4 linked regions of the Coturnix japonica genome follow. The protein of the gene in region 1 interacts with the protein of each later gene in a biochemical or structural test. Links are inferred from orthologs where the notes say so. Each region holds a gene or a part of one and is shown in the gene's direction. Other genes may lie near its edges.

Region 1 (4,588 bases):
GCTACCTTTATTTCATCTACTCAAAAGTATCTTCAATATTTCACACGGACATTTTTTTTTTCTGTTGCTTGTTCAAGATGCCTCCTTTTGTAGGTCTCTCGTCTGTGCAACGTTCCCTAAGGTTAAGAATGAAAGAGGTCTCTACTACAGACATTCTTGATTGAAATAGCAGCTAAATTGCTGCAGTAATGAGAAAATTTCCTTTCCCCTTGATAATTCAGCTGCTTAACAGTGAAACATTTTTTGAGATAAAGATTTTTAGAGGAATAAAAAATGAAAGATCATTTCTTTACAAACAGAATTTGTTAATGAGGCTCCCGTGGAAAGGAACAGCAGAACTAGTTGTTTTACTGGCAGCATGGTCTGGTGATATGGTGAGACATTCTCCCAGAGAAAAAGAGGCCGTTGTGTATAAAATGTGACACACAGTAGCTTTAGCAAACGCTGCTGCTTTTCTGGAAAAAAAGAAAAAAAGTGGTTAAAAACACATGATGATGAAGTTAACCTAAATCTTTCATTGGCTTAAAAAAATAGGTCAAGTAATACATTAGTAGCTCTGCTGTAAGCGCATACACAATCCACGCATTCCAAAGGAAAAGGGGTTTTCTCCACATTCCTACGTGCACTTCAGCCGTGGTATCTGTGAGCTCAAGCATTTGGCTTTTCACAAACAGGACTCCCTTTTGCTTTCCTTAAGCAGAAACTCGTATGTTCTTTCATGATATCAGCCTGTTACTAAACCACACTTGGGTACGCCACTTATTTTACATGAGTTTCAGAACCAAAATATTGGCATACGTTAGTACAGATATCATCGTGCAGCGTATAAATGATTTGTAAACAAATGTTTCTCCTTGCGATCCTTAACTTCTAAGAGAAGTGTCACAAAGAGTTCTGCACACTGTTTAAGAAATGCTTTACACAGCATCACGGCTCTCTTTAAACACAGGCTCTGCTCTGTCCATGGATGACGTGGCTGAGGTCATGCACTTTCTGTAGTTCGACTAAACAGACAGTCTGGTGTGGATCTACTGACTCTTCGACTATTCTTTGATGGGAACGGAGTCTACAGAAAACCTTGACTGCTAACAGACTCATAAGGTACTTTCTCACAGCACAGTCCTGCGTGGATGCCCTGTGCCAAGATGGAGGACTAGTTCTCTTTGGAGGCCCTGTCCCAGGTTGTTCTCACGACCTGTTCACTTACTGGGGCGTGGGTCACTCCATGTTTTCATAGGCTGCCACAACCCCAATTCTCAACACCTGACAGCAGAGGAGAGGCTGCTTCCATCTGCGTGAAGCCCCTGGCAGTGGAGATGCACAGGCCGCGGGCTGAGGTGTGTGCTCGGAGCTGCGAGGGCCAGGCCGGGGGTCAGCGGGGCCGGGGGCAGGAGAGGAAAAAAAGTTTTACAGTGGAAAGGCTGCAAAAAGAAGCTCTAAAGCGGTAACCACAGGAAGCCTCCCCACGTTATGCTTAACAAGCAAGGGGGGTGGGGGGAGTGGGGAAGAGAAATTAAAAAAGGTGTTATTTCGAAGCTTTTTTTTATTAAATATAGGTCCTGCGGTGAGTTCGCTCCCGGGGCTTCACGAGCGGCCCAGCAGCGGGAAGGCGGCTGACGGCCACCTGCCTGCCCCAGCGCCCGGGAGCGAGAAGGGTTAAGGAACTTGGCGGAGGAGATGAATGGCGAGGGGGGAGGAGGGAGGAGGAGGGGCCGGGCTGCGCCGCGCCGGGCGAGGTGGAAGGCGGGGAAGATCGCGGCTGCGGGTTAGGCTTTGAAAGTCAGCCTCACAGGCATTGCAGCAGAGCCCCGAATCGCGGAGGGGAGCGGCGCAGAGCTCGGCTCGCTGTGTACGTGTTGCGGGGCGAGGGCGCGGGGAGGCTCGGTGCGTCTAATAGTCGGGGACGGGGGGCTCCGAGCTCGGAGCCGCCGCTGTCCGCGCTGCCGGAGCCCCGCTGTCCGCGGTGAGGCGAGGCCGGCGGGTGAGCGCGGCGGGCGGGGACGGGGCGGCGCGGCGCTGCGCTGCCGGGCGGCGGCGGGGAACAATGCCGGGGTGAGCCGGGAGCGGGGTGGTCGCGGCGGGGAGCGCTTCCGGTGGGGCGGGCTGGAAGTTACCCGGCCGCGGGGCTCGGCGAGCCGGAGGGGCGGAAAAGTTAGCGGCGTTTAGCGCGGGGCCGGCCGCAGCGCCGCTCTCCGCTCCTTCTCCCCTCGGCGTGGATTATTTCGGGAGTCGCAGCCGGCCGCGCAGCGCCCGAGGGGTCGGGAGGCGCCGCCCGGGGCAGCGCCGGGACGCGGCCTCGCTGCCCGCCCTCCCGATGGCCGCCGCCTCCCGGCCCCCGCTGCCCCGGTACGGCCGCTGCTCGCTCCACCTCCACCTGCGGGCGCGCAGCTCCCTGCCCGCCGCCACGGGGCTGCGTGCTCAGCGCCGGCGCTCTCGCGGCCCCGCGGGGACGTCGCCGTTCCCCTTCCAGACCAAAGGTTACTGTGCGGGCGTGTGTTGTTGTCCCCGAAGCCCTTTAAAAGGTGATTTCTCCCTGCGGAACGCGCTGTCGGAGGCTGCTCTGTGTAAGTGTCAGCGGGTAATTAACTTGGAACGGAGCGAAAGCTGGGGAAACGTGGTGTCGGAGCGTGGACGGAATAAGAGGAAGCTTCCTCAGTGCACGCAGCCTTGTGTCTGTGCCGCATGTCTGTTTATTATAGGCTCTTAATTTTAAGAAGAGTTAAGCTAAAATGCTTGACACGTGTTGAAGATGTTGGAAGGGAAAATAATATTAATGAAGCAGCGCGATTCCCGTCTTTGGCGGTGCGGTGATGTTGGAGAAGGTGACGTGGAAGTTGTTCTCTTCTGCCTCATCTGTCTGCAATCCAGGAGCCGGGCTGCCCTGGGCTTCCTTCGGAGGGAGCTGGGCGCAGCGCTGGGTGCTCACTGCCGCTGAGTGGAATTTAACTGAGTCATGGCACGGTGCGTGTTTAGAGGTGCTGTACCGCTCCGTTTAACGGAGAGGGCAGATGTGGTCTGCGAGACGCAGGGAGACTCCTTGGAGAGCTGGGGCGTTCCGAGGGGAGCAGCAGACCCACACCGACCTGAGGAGCGCTGCCACGGGCCCGGCTGATCGCTGCCCGGTGGCACATCCAGAGGCCCCGTGGTACGGGCTCACCCGGCTGGGAGCGCTTGTGGCTTAGAGCTGATCCGATGGCATCTGAGTAATTGCTGCTCCGCGGGCAGCAGGAGCAGGCGCTCGGAGAGCAGGAGTTCGCAGTCAGAGCTGCGTTCGAGCAGGGCTCTGGCTCTTGCTGCTGGGACAGCTGTCTTCCTGAGCTTGTGGCTGAGGAAGTCTGCCCTGTTGCGTTATCAGCACTCGTATGGCCTGAGATAGCCTCCAGAATAAAGCAGCTGGTGGCTTTTTTTTGTGTGTGTGCTTTAAATCTGTAGATGGATGGGTGTATGTTTTTGTCAGCAGGAAGGAAGAACTAACAAGTAGGCACTTGTTACCCTTAGCTGTGTGTTTTAGGCAGGGCTGGAAGCTGGCCTCCTGTTGGACTGCCCTGCCTGTAGCTCTTAGTGATCTAACCAGGGGGATCCCGGCAGTGGCTTTTTTGTTTACCATGTGTGCACAGAGTAAAGGAGCTGTCAAATGCCAAACCGTGCTGCATTATTATTATTTACTTAAATAACTTAAGTGTGTGTCCCCTTCCTCCCCCTTCCAAGTAGATATGGGATAAAAAAATATCAAATGAGACACGCCTTCCTCTTTGCTCCACGTTTCTGCTTCTAAAGCCACAGATACACTAAACGCAGCTGGAGAGCAGAAATGACCAACGTTTATTATAGTCATAGAAAATACATTCATAAAGAATTGAAAGCGAACTGATATTTTTTAATTGTAAACAGGTGATTGATAAGGGTTGGTGGTATCACCTTGATGGTCAGTAGTCTGCTGTACGTAGGATGAGTTCTGTAATGTGAAAGACATTAAAGACTTTATATTTTTAAAACTGATTCACTAAAGGTTGTAGAACTCAGATGTGGGTTAGCCTACTGGTAGGTATTTGCTTGTAGCTGTTATTTAACATTGGGCTGTTTTTTAATTCATTGGTAAAAGCTTGTTTACTTGTGTTAAAGCTTATAGCTCACTTTTTTTTTCTCCTTTTTCTTTTTCCCTGTATTTGAACGTTGGCAAAAGGTTTCTGCAGTGCCAGCTGTATTATTGTTAGCCATGAGAGCACTGTTAATTTTACTGGTGACAGTGCAGGACACACTCAAAGATAAACTATGCCTCGCATTGTGTGGAGCACATGTATAAACTTGCCCAGGGCAAAGCTGGGGAGTTACATTTCCCACAGTCAGCTGCCTTACTCAACCCTTGTGCTCCACACCTCATTGCAGGGCTATCATGGAGAGGGCTCTAAGACTGTAATGTCTCGTTAATTTTAGAATAGCTCTTACGGACTGGCCTGAACCTTAAAATCAATTGGTTTGTGCTTTCATTTCTGGATGAGAACATACAAGGAATGCAGAGAGATACTGACGAGAGCACTGAGTGTGGGAGCCCCAACCCTCAGAGCAGGGTTTGGACACATGGGAGTGG
Region 2 (4,037 bases), on another chromosome or scaffold:
GGGGAATTCTCATTCATATGCAATGCTAATAATTCAGTCCTTAGGTTGTGATTAGACTGAGTTATGCAGTTAAGATGCATCTCATTTGTGTATTCCAGTATTTACAAAATATAGTTGTCTCTTTCTAAAGCCAGTAAATGCTGGAAGACTTGCAATGTAAAATCTCTCCTGGTAACTGGGGCAGAGTGGTTGGAGTTAGTATCTAACTCACTGCTCCTGGGACAAATCTCTTCATTTGTTGAATATGCTTCTCAAGGAATTAACGTGAGAGTTAGTTGTAAAAGGGTTTTATTCAGTCTTGAAATACAGTACAGAGTTGGACCGTAAGGTCTGACATTCTCCTGAAATTTCATAGCAACTTTTGGAGTAATTTTCAGAGAGCATAATGATGAGGTTGTTACCAGCTTTTCACTGTTGTTTTCACATTCCCACTTCTTGAAATGCATGCAAACAGATGTTCCTCGGGTGACGTCTTTATGATCTGGCCTGTTTTGCTCCAGATTGTTAGTTGTTGACTAGAAATTAGATGCAGGTTGTAAATGTAACTACATGCAAGTGAAATGTGAATCAAGGGTAACACCTGTTGCCTACTAAGTATTTCAACATTAAACATTGATCATTGAAAACAAAGCACTGGGGAAAGGAGCATAGAAGGAATGGACAAGAGTGCGTTATCTTTTCTGATGTGCAGCATCTCTTTTCTTCAGAGCATTGTCTTTACCACACTGCCTGTACGGTTTACCAGGCCTTTTTGAAGCCAGCTGTTTTTAATGAAGGGGAAAATGGGGGGGGAAAGTGTTCCTACAATTTAGGAGTTAAACTATCATATTCTTAAAGTATTAGGGAGGAAAATATAAGGCAGGCTCAATTTCTTTGCATCTCTTCCCACATATGCGGTATAACTTCTTAAGGTCATTTTAAGGCATTATCTTTTATAATTGATGCCAGCTTTTAGGAGACATGGTTATTAAATTCATTTTGCAATCTAGAGCCTGCATTTTTTTTTGCTCCATGAAAGACCTAAACAAACACAGCTGTTTAGTATGATGCGCTTAAAGAGGTTTTGTATTTTAATCATCCACTTTTTCCCGCATTCATTCTCTTTCATTTTTAAAATATGGTGAGTTTCGCACTGCCATTGATGTTAGCAGGATGCCAACATTAATAGTGATGCTGTTTTATCTTTGTGTAAGTCCACAGAGCAGTGACTCAGCACACACTACAGCAGAGGAAAGAAAAGTAGTTCTGAGCTTCCTTATGTTGGCGGTAGGAAGTACTGGGCCGCAGAATGAAGGCATTTAAATGGAAAACAGACAAACATGCAAGCTTATATATAAGATATAAGCTTATTTATTGTCAGATTATTGTCATTAGTCTTATTGAAATGAATGTTGGGTTTCCTTTCTTGCTTCACAAGACATACTGGTATTAGCTGAAGGCTCACTGAATATTTATTTATGTAAAACCCAAACAGCTTGACAGGGAAAACAGTATTAAGGTTATTTTTATTAGTATACAGAACACTTTTTTTTCTCCACCGTGGAATTATGCTGGTTTTGGTCTCAGTCAGCAGAATTAAGAGAGGAGCATTAATAAGAGCTGATGATTAGAGAATGAACATGCAGTAAATAGAAAGAATGAAGACAGAATGCAAACTTTTTCAAGTAAACATTTTGCTTCACTGCTGTATATTCAGTACTGGAAGGTAAAAGCTAATAAAGAAAACCAAACCAGAATGAACTGACTTACATTCCATTACAATCAATGCCTTTTCTTTTGTTTCTTTTTAAGTAAAAATGGAGTACCTTGAGTCTTGAATGAGTTTTCCTTCCAGCACAGCCTGTGGAGTCTTTCAGCTTCTTGATGTTACAGCTTTTTCAACTATTATTAGGAAAATGCATTTTTAAATTAGCTGAAGTTTAGTGTTACCTTCGCGTTCAATGCCGAAGCAGATTTCGTATTTCAGTATTGAAATTTAAATGAGTTTTCTTTAATATGAGGGACCAAGAAATGACTTGGATTCTATGTGTGACACCTCTACAAACTCCTATGCAACAGGAAACAGATTGTTCCTCCTTGTGTTATTACAACCTATTTATGTCTTGGAAATAGTATTTCATTAAGGTTTATAAGAGTGGTTTTCATTTTAAGTTAATTATTTTTTGTAACACATAGACAGCTTTTGGGAGGGTGTCTGCTCAGTAGCAGAAAGTTAACTCACACAATGAAGTGCAAACAGTGATCTTTACCCTCACTGACTTTGTGGTGAAAGAAAAGCATGTATTTCTTCCTGCTATTCAAAGCACGGAACCCACTGTGCACATAAAGCACTTACTAACATATTGATTTGGTTACTAAGCTACCTGACCTCTATATACTTACTTCTGTGGTTTCGGTTGTCCATTTGTTGTTTGCCTTAATGTGGAGAAACAGTAAATAGTAAAAGAAAAAAAAAATGAGAAAAGGAAGTTTGCTTGTACTTCTTAACTAGTTTGTCAAATGTTTGCCTGTCATTGCTGTCAGGAACATTGTATTAGTGCAAAATAGGTATTGAAATAGCTGTAAATGTAAACGTCATACTCAGGGATTGCTGTTAAATGGGAAGAAGAAAGAAATGTTTGGCAACCTGTTATCCTTTCCACCCATTCTTTGCAGGGATTGCAGTGTGTAACGTGCCAGCTGCCTCTGTAGAAGAAACAGCGGATTCTACCATGTGCCACATTCTGAACTTGTACAGACGAACCACCTGGCTTCACCAGGCCTTGCGGGAAGGCACGAGAGTACAAAGCGTTGAACAGATTCGGGAAGTGGCTTCTGGAGCTGCCAGGATCAGAGGGGAGACCTTGGGCATTATTGGATTAGGTACGTTTGGTGGTGATGTAGTTTAATACTCTTTTCTGTCCAAAGGAATTAAATCTTCCTTTCCAAAGATTTGAGCTATAGAGACAGTATGCTTCACTCTGTTCCATGCCAAACATTCTGTATAGTACCACTTCATTCCTGGTGTTTATATTTCTGAGATATTTTCCCCATAGACATCATAGTTTCCATCAGACAATTTTTGCAGCTGATATTCTTCGAACTCTTTGAGTTTCTGTACATCTTTCTGCTATTGTAATGCCCACTGCCAGGCATGTTGGTTGTAAGGGGAAAAGGCACCGTTGTTTCCCTTCTCCAGGACAAGGATTCTGCTACCTGTACCCAGTTATCGTGTGTATTTGTTGTGCATTGTCATGTCTGGGTCTATTTGTGCTTGTTTCTGTTTCTTGTGTTTGATATGTCTGGGAGGTCTTTGCTGCAGGAACAAACTGCAGAGCTGTTACTTCTTGCATTTGATCAGGCTACGTCTGAATTTGTATTTCAGTTCAAATGAGAGGAAAAAATATATGCAAGAAAGTTTTAAATGTTTCCAGACCTAATAAAATCACCTAGTTAGATTTAGGGACATTCAGAGAGGTATTTCAGCATCTAACAGATGGACAAGCTTGCTTGAAATGAATTCATTACTGTCTGTTATAGAAGCAGAAAAGAAATGCAAGTCAGTTTTTATATAAGAATTAGTTGTGTACCTGTCTTATCAAAGACCTCACAGACACTGAATGTAATTGCCATAGTATTCATCCACAGGGATTAATGATACGGTTTTGACAACGGGGCATTATATTTAAATGACTGTTCCAGTTATACTTTGAAATATCACAGGCCATGAGCTCTCTGGAATTTGGAAGTAGCTTTGTGTTATGTAGTATTCATTGGAATGAGCATGCAAGGAGTCTTAATAGTTAAGGAACATCCTTTAAAATACAGCCTTTAAGATGTTGGTCGTGGAGTGTCTTTCTCAAATCTATATCCATGTGTTAATCCACCTCATTTAAGCACAGAGTGGTTATTGTCATCATGGTCACAGCACCTATACAGAAATAGCAGATAAATCACCTGTAGTGTTTTAAAAAATGGAAATGCACAATGCAGTTTTGAAACTTAAGTCTTCACTTAAACATTCTGTGTGCTTATTTGCTGGAGACATCTGTCCTGCT
Region 3 (4,037 bases), on another chromosome or scaffold:
ACCCCAAGATAATGTTTCTGAATTATGTCCATTCTAAGGCCATCTATTTTTGTGTATGTTGCACAGTAGAGACTCCAAGAATACTTTTAACTCTTCAAAGGGAAATGGTTGCATGAGCAGCTGTAGAATTTGGAATGTGGGAAAGTTAGCAAATGTTTAGTGTGTATGAACCATGTGGTTTTTGTTACATGATTATTTATTTGTGTTTCAAAGGGTAATTTTAATTCAAAAACATTACAGTGAAATAAAGCATACTTCCAAATATATTTGTTGCAGAAGAGCATGCATAATACTGAGTAGTCCGTGAATACTGAGTAGTCTGATGAAGCAAGCTATCAATGAGACTAACTCCAGGATGGCATTGTTCCAAAATAAGCCTTTTATTTTTTTCCTAATAGCAAGAATCTCCCTCATCTTCTAAACAGAAATAATTTAGTGGTAGTAGGTATTACTGAATGAAAAATGAGAACAGGAATGCACTTCAGACTTTTGGCTTACAGCTAGTTTAACTAATGGGAAAATGTAGAGAGGTTAAGTAGTAAGGGTGATGAAAGATTTATGGAACTTGCTGTATATGGAAAGATTTATAGATAGATTCAGAAGGCCTGCTAGGTCTTGAAAGAATTAGACTTAAAGAGATTAATTTTCAAGTACAAATTCATTTAACATATCACATATCATGAAAGAGGCATACTGATCTATAGATGCTGTCTTTACCATTGGAAGAGGGCACCTGCTGGTAGGATCTAAAAGCCATTAATCCGAAGAAGAAATTATATGAAGAAATACTGGATTTGAGAAACAAACAAACAAACAAACAAAAAATTGGAAGCCTAATAGATTATATAGTTTGTGGTGTGAAAAAAAGCTGATTAAAGATTGTCTTTTCTCCCCCCCCACCCACCAGAAAGATCCATGTTCATTTATTTTAAGGGCCAGTAGATTTCAAAGTTTTCCTCCCCTCCCCTTCTCTTCCCCTTCCCTCCCCTCCTCTTTTCCTTCTCTTCCATTCACTTCCCTTCCCTTCACATCCCTTCCCTTCTCTCAAAATAGCTGTGCCTCCTCCACTCAGAGCTAGCATTTATTCTCCCTTTATGATTGGAGTACACTTGGACTTTATCATTACAATTTGTTCATGACCTTTCCACAAAGGAGATTTTATTCTACTGTAAGGGCTTAGTGTTGTTGTTTTAATTAGTATGGCAGACTTGATAACTTCCAAAGGTCCAGGGTCATTCGGAACTAAGCACATTGCAGAAATGTGCAATAATGACAAAGATAATTTCTGTTCCAGTTGTTACTGACTTTTGACAGTAGGTCACCCACACTAGATTTGAGGCAGAAATTATCTTCCCTTTTTTTTCTGTTTATCTGGTTGTACAACAATCCTTAATGCTGTATAAGGCCATCTTATGATGGTATCTTTTCTGTGTGTTTCTTACCTAACTAGGAAGATCACACACTCCATAGTAATGGTTTGGTGTTTAGTTAGAATTGGGAAAGTTGAGGAAAGATTTTTTTTTGAGAGTTGTTACTGCTATACATGTAGCCTGCTCAGGTCATGAAGCTGCTATTGATCAATTGTTGGATAGTTACATACTAGAGGTTAGGACATGACATTAAGGTTTGTGCTGTAAAAAATATTTATTTATTTCCAGTTACTGCCTTTTGTCACTATTTCTGATACTATACTTTTAAAAATACTTTTTCTCTCCAACTGCTCATGTAAGATTCTACATATAGGAAGAATCCTTGACAATAAACCAGGAGTAAATGCTCCACTGGCCTATGAACAGCAGCTCCTGGTTGGCTGAGGCCAAATTTATGTAATGCCTGTGTTCAAGGAAAGGAGTTCATTATATTCTTGTATGTCTCTAGGAATCCGGAAAGACCGCAGAGGCGGGCGAATGATGAAACAGAAACGTCAAAGAGAGGAGCAGGAGTCCAGGAACGGGGAGGCTTCTTCTACAGAGCTGCGAGCTCCCACCCTTTGGACAAGTCCACTAGTGGTTAAACATAACAAGAAGAACAGTCCAGCCCTGTCTCTGACAGCAGAACAGATGGTCAGTGCCTTGCTGGAAGCTGAGCCACCCATAGTTTACTCTGAATATGACCCCAATAGACCATTCAACGAAGCATCTATGATGACCCTGTTGACCAACCTTGCAGACAGAGAATTAGTGCACATGATCAACTGGGCAAAGAGAGTTCCAGGTAAGGAAAGAAAGCCCCAGCAGACTACAAAAAGCTCAACATGAAAAAAATCTGAGAAGCCCTTCAATATATAAAACAAGTACATTAATTCTGTCTTACTTGCACTATTAAATATTATACAATTTTGGGAATAGGAAGTGTTTTCCAATTAAACAAAAACAAAACCTTCAAGCTGAAGTAGAATAATAAAAGTGTCTAATCTAGTCTATTTGATCTAATTATATTCATTATCTAGACCTTTTGGAATTAAGGTTGCTAAACTTTTTGAAATATCTGCCATTACATTGGCATTTCCAACAAGACCATTAATATTAGTATTATTTATTTGTAAATTTACCTTTTCACCCATAAGTTAGACGTTTTGCATGTGTTTTTTTTTTTGTTTGTTTTTTTTTTTTTTTTTTTTTTGTCTGAAAAATCATACAGAAAGTATTTTCTGAATATATATTTTTTCCCATTGGAATGGAATGTTTTTATCTTTATCTCTTTGTTACATCTTGGTTTCTCAGCTTTAACCCCTCAGTTCTAGAAGGGAATTTTAGAATTGTGAGACCATTTTGGTTGAATATATGATGCACATTCCATCACATAATTTAATTAATTAATATCAGTGAAATGAGATGACAGTGTGGTAATTAAGGCTTTTTTTTCTTTTAAAATGTTAGTCTACAATGTTCCACTTCAGAAATTAACATTTTAGTATGTATTAAAAATTTATTGCACATATTATATGTAATTTTGCTACACATACACACATACTCAGTAATATATACTTTAAAGTTCACTGGAATTCTGATCTCTTGAATTTTTACTGTAGCTGTTTTATAAAGGAATATTAGGGAACACTTCCGCATCTCTCACTTACCATTACAGAGTGCATGACCTCAACTCATTGCATGAGTTATGCCATTTTTTTAGTTTTCTTCATTTAAACTTGGCAAGACTCTTTCTGGAAAATCACTAACCCATAAAATCTGAGTCTTTTCCAGTCCTCATGGGTTCCCTTCTTAGCACTTTTCACATGTCACTCTGTGGACTCCAGCTATGATCAATGAGAACCTGTGAGTGTTCCATTTCTCATATTATAAAAAATCACCTGAGATTTTCATTTTTGTTTTCATAAAGCTGCAGTGTTTAAGGTCTTATTTACAGCCTGTTCAGTTCAAGAACAAGTTCTCGTGTTAATTTGGTGTGCTTTGGATCATGTCTTTATAAAATACTTTTGAAAGATAAACATATGTCCACAGTGTTAAAGCTCTACGATAGAAAACCAGCTAAATTCAAATAATATTTCTCCTGATTTTAGAGACATAATTAATCTAACTCTGTTACAAACTATTGATTTACACTGAATGTGAATATGCTACAATTTAAATTCAATATGTTTTCCAACTGAAATCATTTGTATTCTGTGATATTTTATTTGGATAGTTAATGTAATTAATCAAATTATAACAATAGGGTTAGGGAACTTAGATCTATTTTTTGTTCGGAGATCTCATAAAACTACGTGTCACAAAATGATTACATCCACTAAAGATCAAAACTCAGCTTACTTTATCAAATGCATTCTTTGTTTTCCAAGAAACTTCTGAATGTATAAGTTTATCAACAATTTATATACATCCAAAGTATTTTATTTGCCTGTTAAGTGCCAGAATAGCTCCTAGAGGGGAACTAAGACTGTGTGTATGCACATGAATAAGCACTCTAACAGGTGAACTTTGATATAAAATAGGAGAACTTCTTTAAAAAAAAAAAAAAAAAAGTCTTAGTTGCCTATAATGGATCACAGAAGTATCAACCATCTTTCAAAGATCAGG
Region 4 (4,653 bases), on another chromosome or scaffold:
AAGCGTGGCTGCCGATTGAACTCCCGCAGCCCGGCCAGCGTCGGCAGACAGGAGCAAGCCAGCACCAAGGACACTGCCTCAGCCTCCTCGCAGCCAAGCAGGGAGAGCGAGGGAAGGCTGAAGCCCGCAGCCCGGCTGCCAGGCGGCACGTGGGTAAGAGCCTGCGGGCTCCGGAGAGCCGGGAAGAGCCCTGCCAGCTCCGGGAGCTCTCAGCCAGGCTCTCCCGCAGGCACCGCCGCTCACGGCCGTGTTTATACAGGGCGACTCCCCGTCTCCCAAGCTGAGTGCGGAGAGAAAATTTATTGCCGTTATTCCGGGGGAAGAGCTCTGTTCTTGTGAGAGGAAACGGAGGAAGAAAACAGGAGGGCGAAGCAGCGGCGGGTCACAAAGGCACGAAGGGGCTCCTCCGGCGGTTCTGCGTGTCGGCAGCGTGGCAGCACCTTGTGCTTTTTGCCACATTGCTCCTTTTCTGCAACATCAGTGTTCATTTCACACGTCAGCGCCGTAACTCGCCACCTTATCCCCGCACGAGGCACTGGCCGCATCCCGTGCCCCCTTCCTCTCCCCTGGAGCTCAGGGAACCGCAGCGTTGCCCGGAGCGCCCCGCGGTCCCTGCGCTTGGTGCGGCCGCGCTTCCACCTCTTCCCCGACTCGGCCGCTGCCCGGGGCCGGCTCCCAGCCCGCTTTGGGAGGCAGCCTGCTTTGCATCTTTGCAGCCTCGGGGCCGCACAAGGCGGGGGCAGCCTCTCGTTCCCGTTCCCCAGCCCAGCTCAATCCCCCGCTGCCCGCGGCGCTCCGCCGCCGTCCCCTCGCCTGACCTCCCCAACATGGCGGCGCGGCCGCCCCCTCCTCCCTCCGCGCCGCCGCCGCAAGGGGCCTCCTCGGCGCGGGGCGGCGGCGCTGTCAGGCTGCGGGGCGGGCCCGGGCCGGCAGCGCGGTGGCGGCAGCGGGAGGAGCGGGGTTGGGTTGGGCTGGGCGGGGAGGCCCGGCCGGGCGCCGCGCACACTGACAGGCGCTCGGCTCGCAGACGGGCTGGGAGACGGTGAGGCCGGCAGAGAGTCTGTGCGGACTCGGTAGGAAGACGCGGGTCCGAGCGGCGCTACGGAGACCCGGCCGCCCTCACACCTGTGCCGTGCGGAGGCGCCGTGCGGGGAGTGGGTGTCGCCGCCGCCGATCACCTGGGATCCCCGCCCCGCGCCGCCTCCGCCTCCCTCCGTCCTCGCCGGGCCAGGGGAGGTGCCGCCGCTGTGAGCGCGCTACTGCGGGCGGCAGGGCCGGGGCCCGCGGGCGAGGCAGGAGCTGCGGCGCCGCCGGGACTCGCCCCCTCCCGGCAGCCGGGGCGAGGCGGGCAGCGAGGCGGCCCCCGGCGGTGCGGGGCGCTGGAGCCGCGGCAGGATGAACCCCAATGTCACCTACGCCAGTCGCAAGCGGCGGAAACCTGTGCAGAAAATGTAAGCGGCTCTGCGGGGCGGGGAGGGAAAGAGACGGGGACGGGGATGGCTCCCCTGCTCCCTCCGTCCCGGCCGGGCACCGCGGCACGGGGCAGCCCCGGCGCGGACTCCCCCCCCCCCCCCCCGCCCTTCCCGGCGCCGGCTCGGCCGCGGAGTGTCGATGCAGCTCCCGGCTGCGGTGCTCGGCAGTGCGGGGCGGGCTGCGGGCCCGCCTCTCTCTGGTGCCCGGGGGTGCCCCGAGATTTTCTATTTTTCTTGGATTTCTTATGAAAATAAATCTAAACCGCGGTCCCCTCGCGGCTGGCGGGCGGAGCGCGGAGGTGGGAGCAGGGAGCGGCGGCTCGAGGCGGCTGACCTAGATCGGGAGGCACCTGAGGTGACAGCTCCCGGCGCGGGCGGCCCGGCCCCGCTCAGGTGGCGGCGTGTCGGGGGGGTTGTCGGTCCGGTCCTCAGTCCGGGGCTGTCCTCGGTCTGCTGGCCCGGCTGCTGCCCCCGGTGCTACATCAGGTGGTGGTGGTGGTTCCACTCCGAGCAACTGCGGGTGCTGCGGATTGCTCCAAGGAGGCCAGAAAACAAATGTTTGTCGTGTTATTTTTAAACTTGGGGTGCAGCTTAGCGTCTGAGTGCTTTTGTATTGTACACCTGTGGTAGATTTTAGCTCTCGGTTTTGCGGGCTGAGCTGCAAACCTCATCTCATGTGATTTTCAGGACAGAGAAGTTTAACCCACACTGTCGACTAAGAAGTCAGTTGTAGGCAGTGGTGGAGCTGAACTCGGAGCTGCTACCAAAATTACCTGTGATGCAGAGCTCAAAAAATCCCACTGTATTTCTGAGTGGTCTTGAAGTAGTACATTAATCACCTAAACTCCAAAAGCATTAAAGATAATGACAAATATTTAAGAATATCCCAGTGTTAATGTATGTTCTCAGATTGATAGCAGACAACTGCATGGTGGGAGCAAAGTCAGCTTGGGTGCTCACTTCTGTACGGCTGGAGCTATGGGAATGAGTGCACACACACAGCCAGTCTACAAATTAATGCAAAAAAGTCTAAACATACCCTTTTAAAAACAGTTCTGGCTAGAAGATAGAGTCATTACGAGAAGAGCAGTGTTTGCTTTTTTAGATTACTCATTTCCAAACAATAATGTAGGAGCAGTGAATCAGTCTTTTCTATAGGTCTGGGTTTTAACAATGAAATTAGTGTTGTCTCTTTGTGAAGTAGAAATGCATCAGTAGTATTTGTCAAACTGTTGGTTGCTGAGGGCAAGTAATTCTTGTAATTGCATAAGGGTGAGCTGTTCTGCCTTTTTGGTCGCATCGCTTAATGTCTGGCTGGCTATTACATTCTTGGTCTTGATTAGAGGATGTGAAACTTTCCTTTTTGTATTACTGTTTTATCTATGACAGTAATCTCTTTCCGTTATCTGTTTTCTTATATTTGGTGGTCGTGCTTATTGTATTAGTTTAACTCAGAGCTTGTTTTTATTACTAATGGAAATGGACTATTGATTTGGGATTTTGCCCTTTGATACAAAATGGACAGATAAATGTGTCTTCTTCACATAGAACTACTTGAATTAGCTTGTTCACCTGTATTTATAAGAGGAGGCATGATTATTAGCCAGTCTTGTTGGAGTTAGCAGAAATTATTCTGAATTTATCTTGCATCTATTCCTTTTTCTCCCTTTTCTTTTCCTAGTGTTTGTGGATCTTGGTTGCTTGTGCTGTTAGACCAACCTTACAGAGCACTGAGGGTGGTAGGAAGGCTCTGATTTCTCACATAGCTAATTACAGAGCATTCAGTGGGCTAAAACGTAGGGGGAGAGGCCATAAGCTCCTGTATCTGGCTGGGGGGAAGGAGGAAACAGTTCCAACACTTCTCCTAGCCCCACAGTGTGGCACTGCCATGATTTGAGTTTGTTTGAAGTGGGTATTTTGTGCTCCCAGTAGAATCCAGAGCTCTTCAAAGAGGATTTTAAAATGAAAGAAGTGATGTTTGCTGGGAGTAGCACCTTTTCTGAAGAGGTTTCTTCTTTTTAACGTTTCCTTTGCTGTAGATGTAGCTGTGAAGGGAGCCTGGTTGTTGTTAGTCTGTAGCAGTGGGCAGCCTGTGTGTAGGAGTGGAAGAAGCTGCTCATGCAATGCCATTCTGCTCGTGGGTTAAAACAAATGAAGAACTACTTCCTGCTTCAGGTGCAAATAACTTTAAGTCATGGCAGTACTCAGAGCCGATATAGGAAGCTTCCCCCTGCAGCCACCCTATCTTTATGGGCCATGTAAAGGACTGGATTCGACAGGGAATTACCTGACAGAAATGTGTTGTTTTGATCCAGTAGGCAGTCACCATATCACAGCAGAAAAGAAAACGCAGTAATGGAAAAACTTAAGAGGCAACTGTTCCTGCATTTCATCTTGTTATCTTGTCATCTGGAGGGGAAATAAAACAACAGTCTGATAGACAACGTGCATTCTAGTGAAATGTAGCTTTCTTAGAACCTCGGAGCCTTCTGCAGATTCCCTCCCACGTGTGGTGGAGCCGTGCGGGTCCCCCTGGTGGCCGCACTTCATGGACCCTGCTTTGAATTCTCTTTCAATTGTTCTGTTTTCTTTTTAAGGTCTTCTGTGCCTTTTCTCTACTGATTATTAACTGAACTGTCGACTTTACATGCTGGTAGGATAAAATGCATTGTTTTATTGAAGTTTACTGGAGATAGATCCTAACATCAAGTGAAAGATGTTATATATCTGTTGTTTCACCTTGCTGTCTTTAGCTTCTTATGCTTTTCTGCCTCCTCGCTCAGTCCTGCTGTGATTTGCTTTGTTTTTCTCTTTTTTCAGTGTTTGGGTAGGAATTGTTTTGCATAACGGAATGAATGTAATAGACATGGAATGGGGTGGGGGGGATCTAAATGTTTCATACTGTGCAGGCACACAAAGCGTAACAGCATGTTTCTTGAAAAAGCAGACTAAATAAGAAATGATACACTTTTGTTCCATGTTAGCATAAATGTATTCATGATACTAAATATTCCAGAGAAAAACATTTGGCTGGTTGATCCTTAATTAAGAGTATATATTAAGGCATAGTGATTTCAGAAAGCAGTGCAAAGATACTTCTAACATTACAATGTTACACTGTTACATGTACAAAGATACATTCTAACATTAAATAAAAACAAAACCACCAAAGCAACAACAA

The links.
Region 2: the proteins of NRIP1 (region 1) and CTBP1 form a complex in vitro, tested with the Homo sapiens proteins (2 studies listed by BioGRID and IntAct). The link is inferred for Coturnix japonica from reciprocal best matches to the Homo sapiens genes NRIP1 and CTBP1.
Region 3: the proteins of NRIP1 (region 1) and ESR1 form a complex in vitro, tested with the Homo sapiens proteins (4 studies listed by BioGRID, with this or other methods). The link is inferred for Coturnix japonica from reciprocal best matches to the Homo sapiens genes NRIP1 and ESR1.
Region 4: the proteins of NRIP1 (region 1) and AHR form a complex in vitro, tested with the Homo sapiens proteins (2 studies listed by BioGRID). The link is inferred for Coturnix japonica from reciprocal best matches to the Homo sapiens genes NRIP1 and AHR.

What each region holds. Positions count from the first base shown.
Region 1 is NC_029516.1:88,468,183-88,472,770, reverse strand, and holds the start of NRIP1 (nuclear receptor-interacting protein 1), read left to right. Parts: upstream 1-1,576; 5' UTR 1,577-1,849; intron 1,850-1,865; exon of another isoform or gene 1,866-1,884; intron 1,885-2,380; exon of another isoform or gene 2,381-2,564; intron 2,565-4,588. UniProt on the Homo sapiens protein: Modulates transcriptional activation by steroid receptors such as NR3C1, NR3C2 and ESR1. Also modulates transcriptional repression by nuclear hormone receptors.
Region 2 is NC_029519.1:76,821,394-76,825,430, forward strand, and holds part of CTBP1 (C-terminal-binding protein 1), read left to right. Parts: intron 1-2,655; coding exon 2,656-2,862; intron 2,863-4,037. UniProt on the Homo sapiens protein: Corepressor targeting diverse transcription regulators such as GLIS2 or BCL6. Has dehydrogenase activity. Involved in controlling the equilibrium between tubular and stacked structures in the Golgi complex.
Region 3 is NC_029518.1:44,222,225-44,226,261, forward strand, and holds part of ESR1 (estrogen receptor 1), read left to right. Parts: intron 1-1,878; coding exon 1,879-2,214; intron 2,215-4,037.
Region 4 is NC_029517.1:26,399,189-26,403,841, forward strand, and holds the start of AHR (aryl hydrocarbon receptor), read left to right. Parts: upstream 1-1,395; coding exon 1,396-1,451; intron 1,452-4,653. UniProt on the Homo sapiens protein: Ligand-activated transcription factor that enables cells to adapt to changing conditions by sensing compounds from the environment, diet, microbiome and cellular metabolism, and which plays important roles in development, immunity and cancer.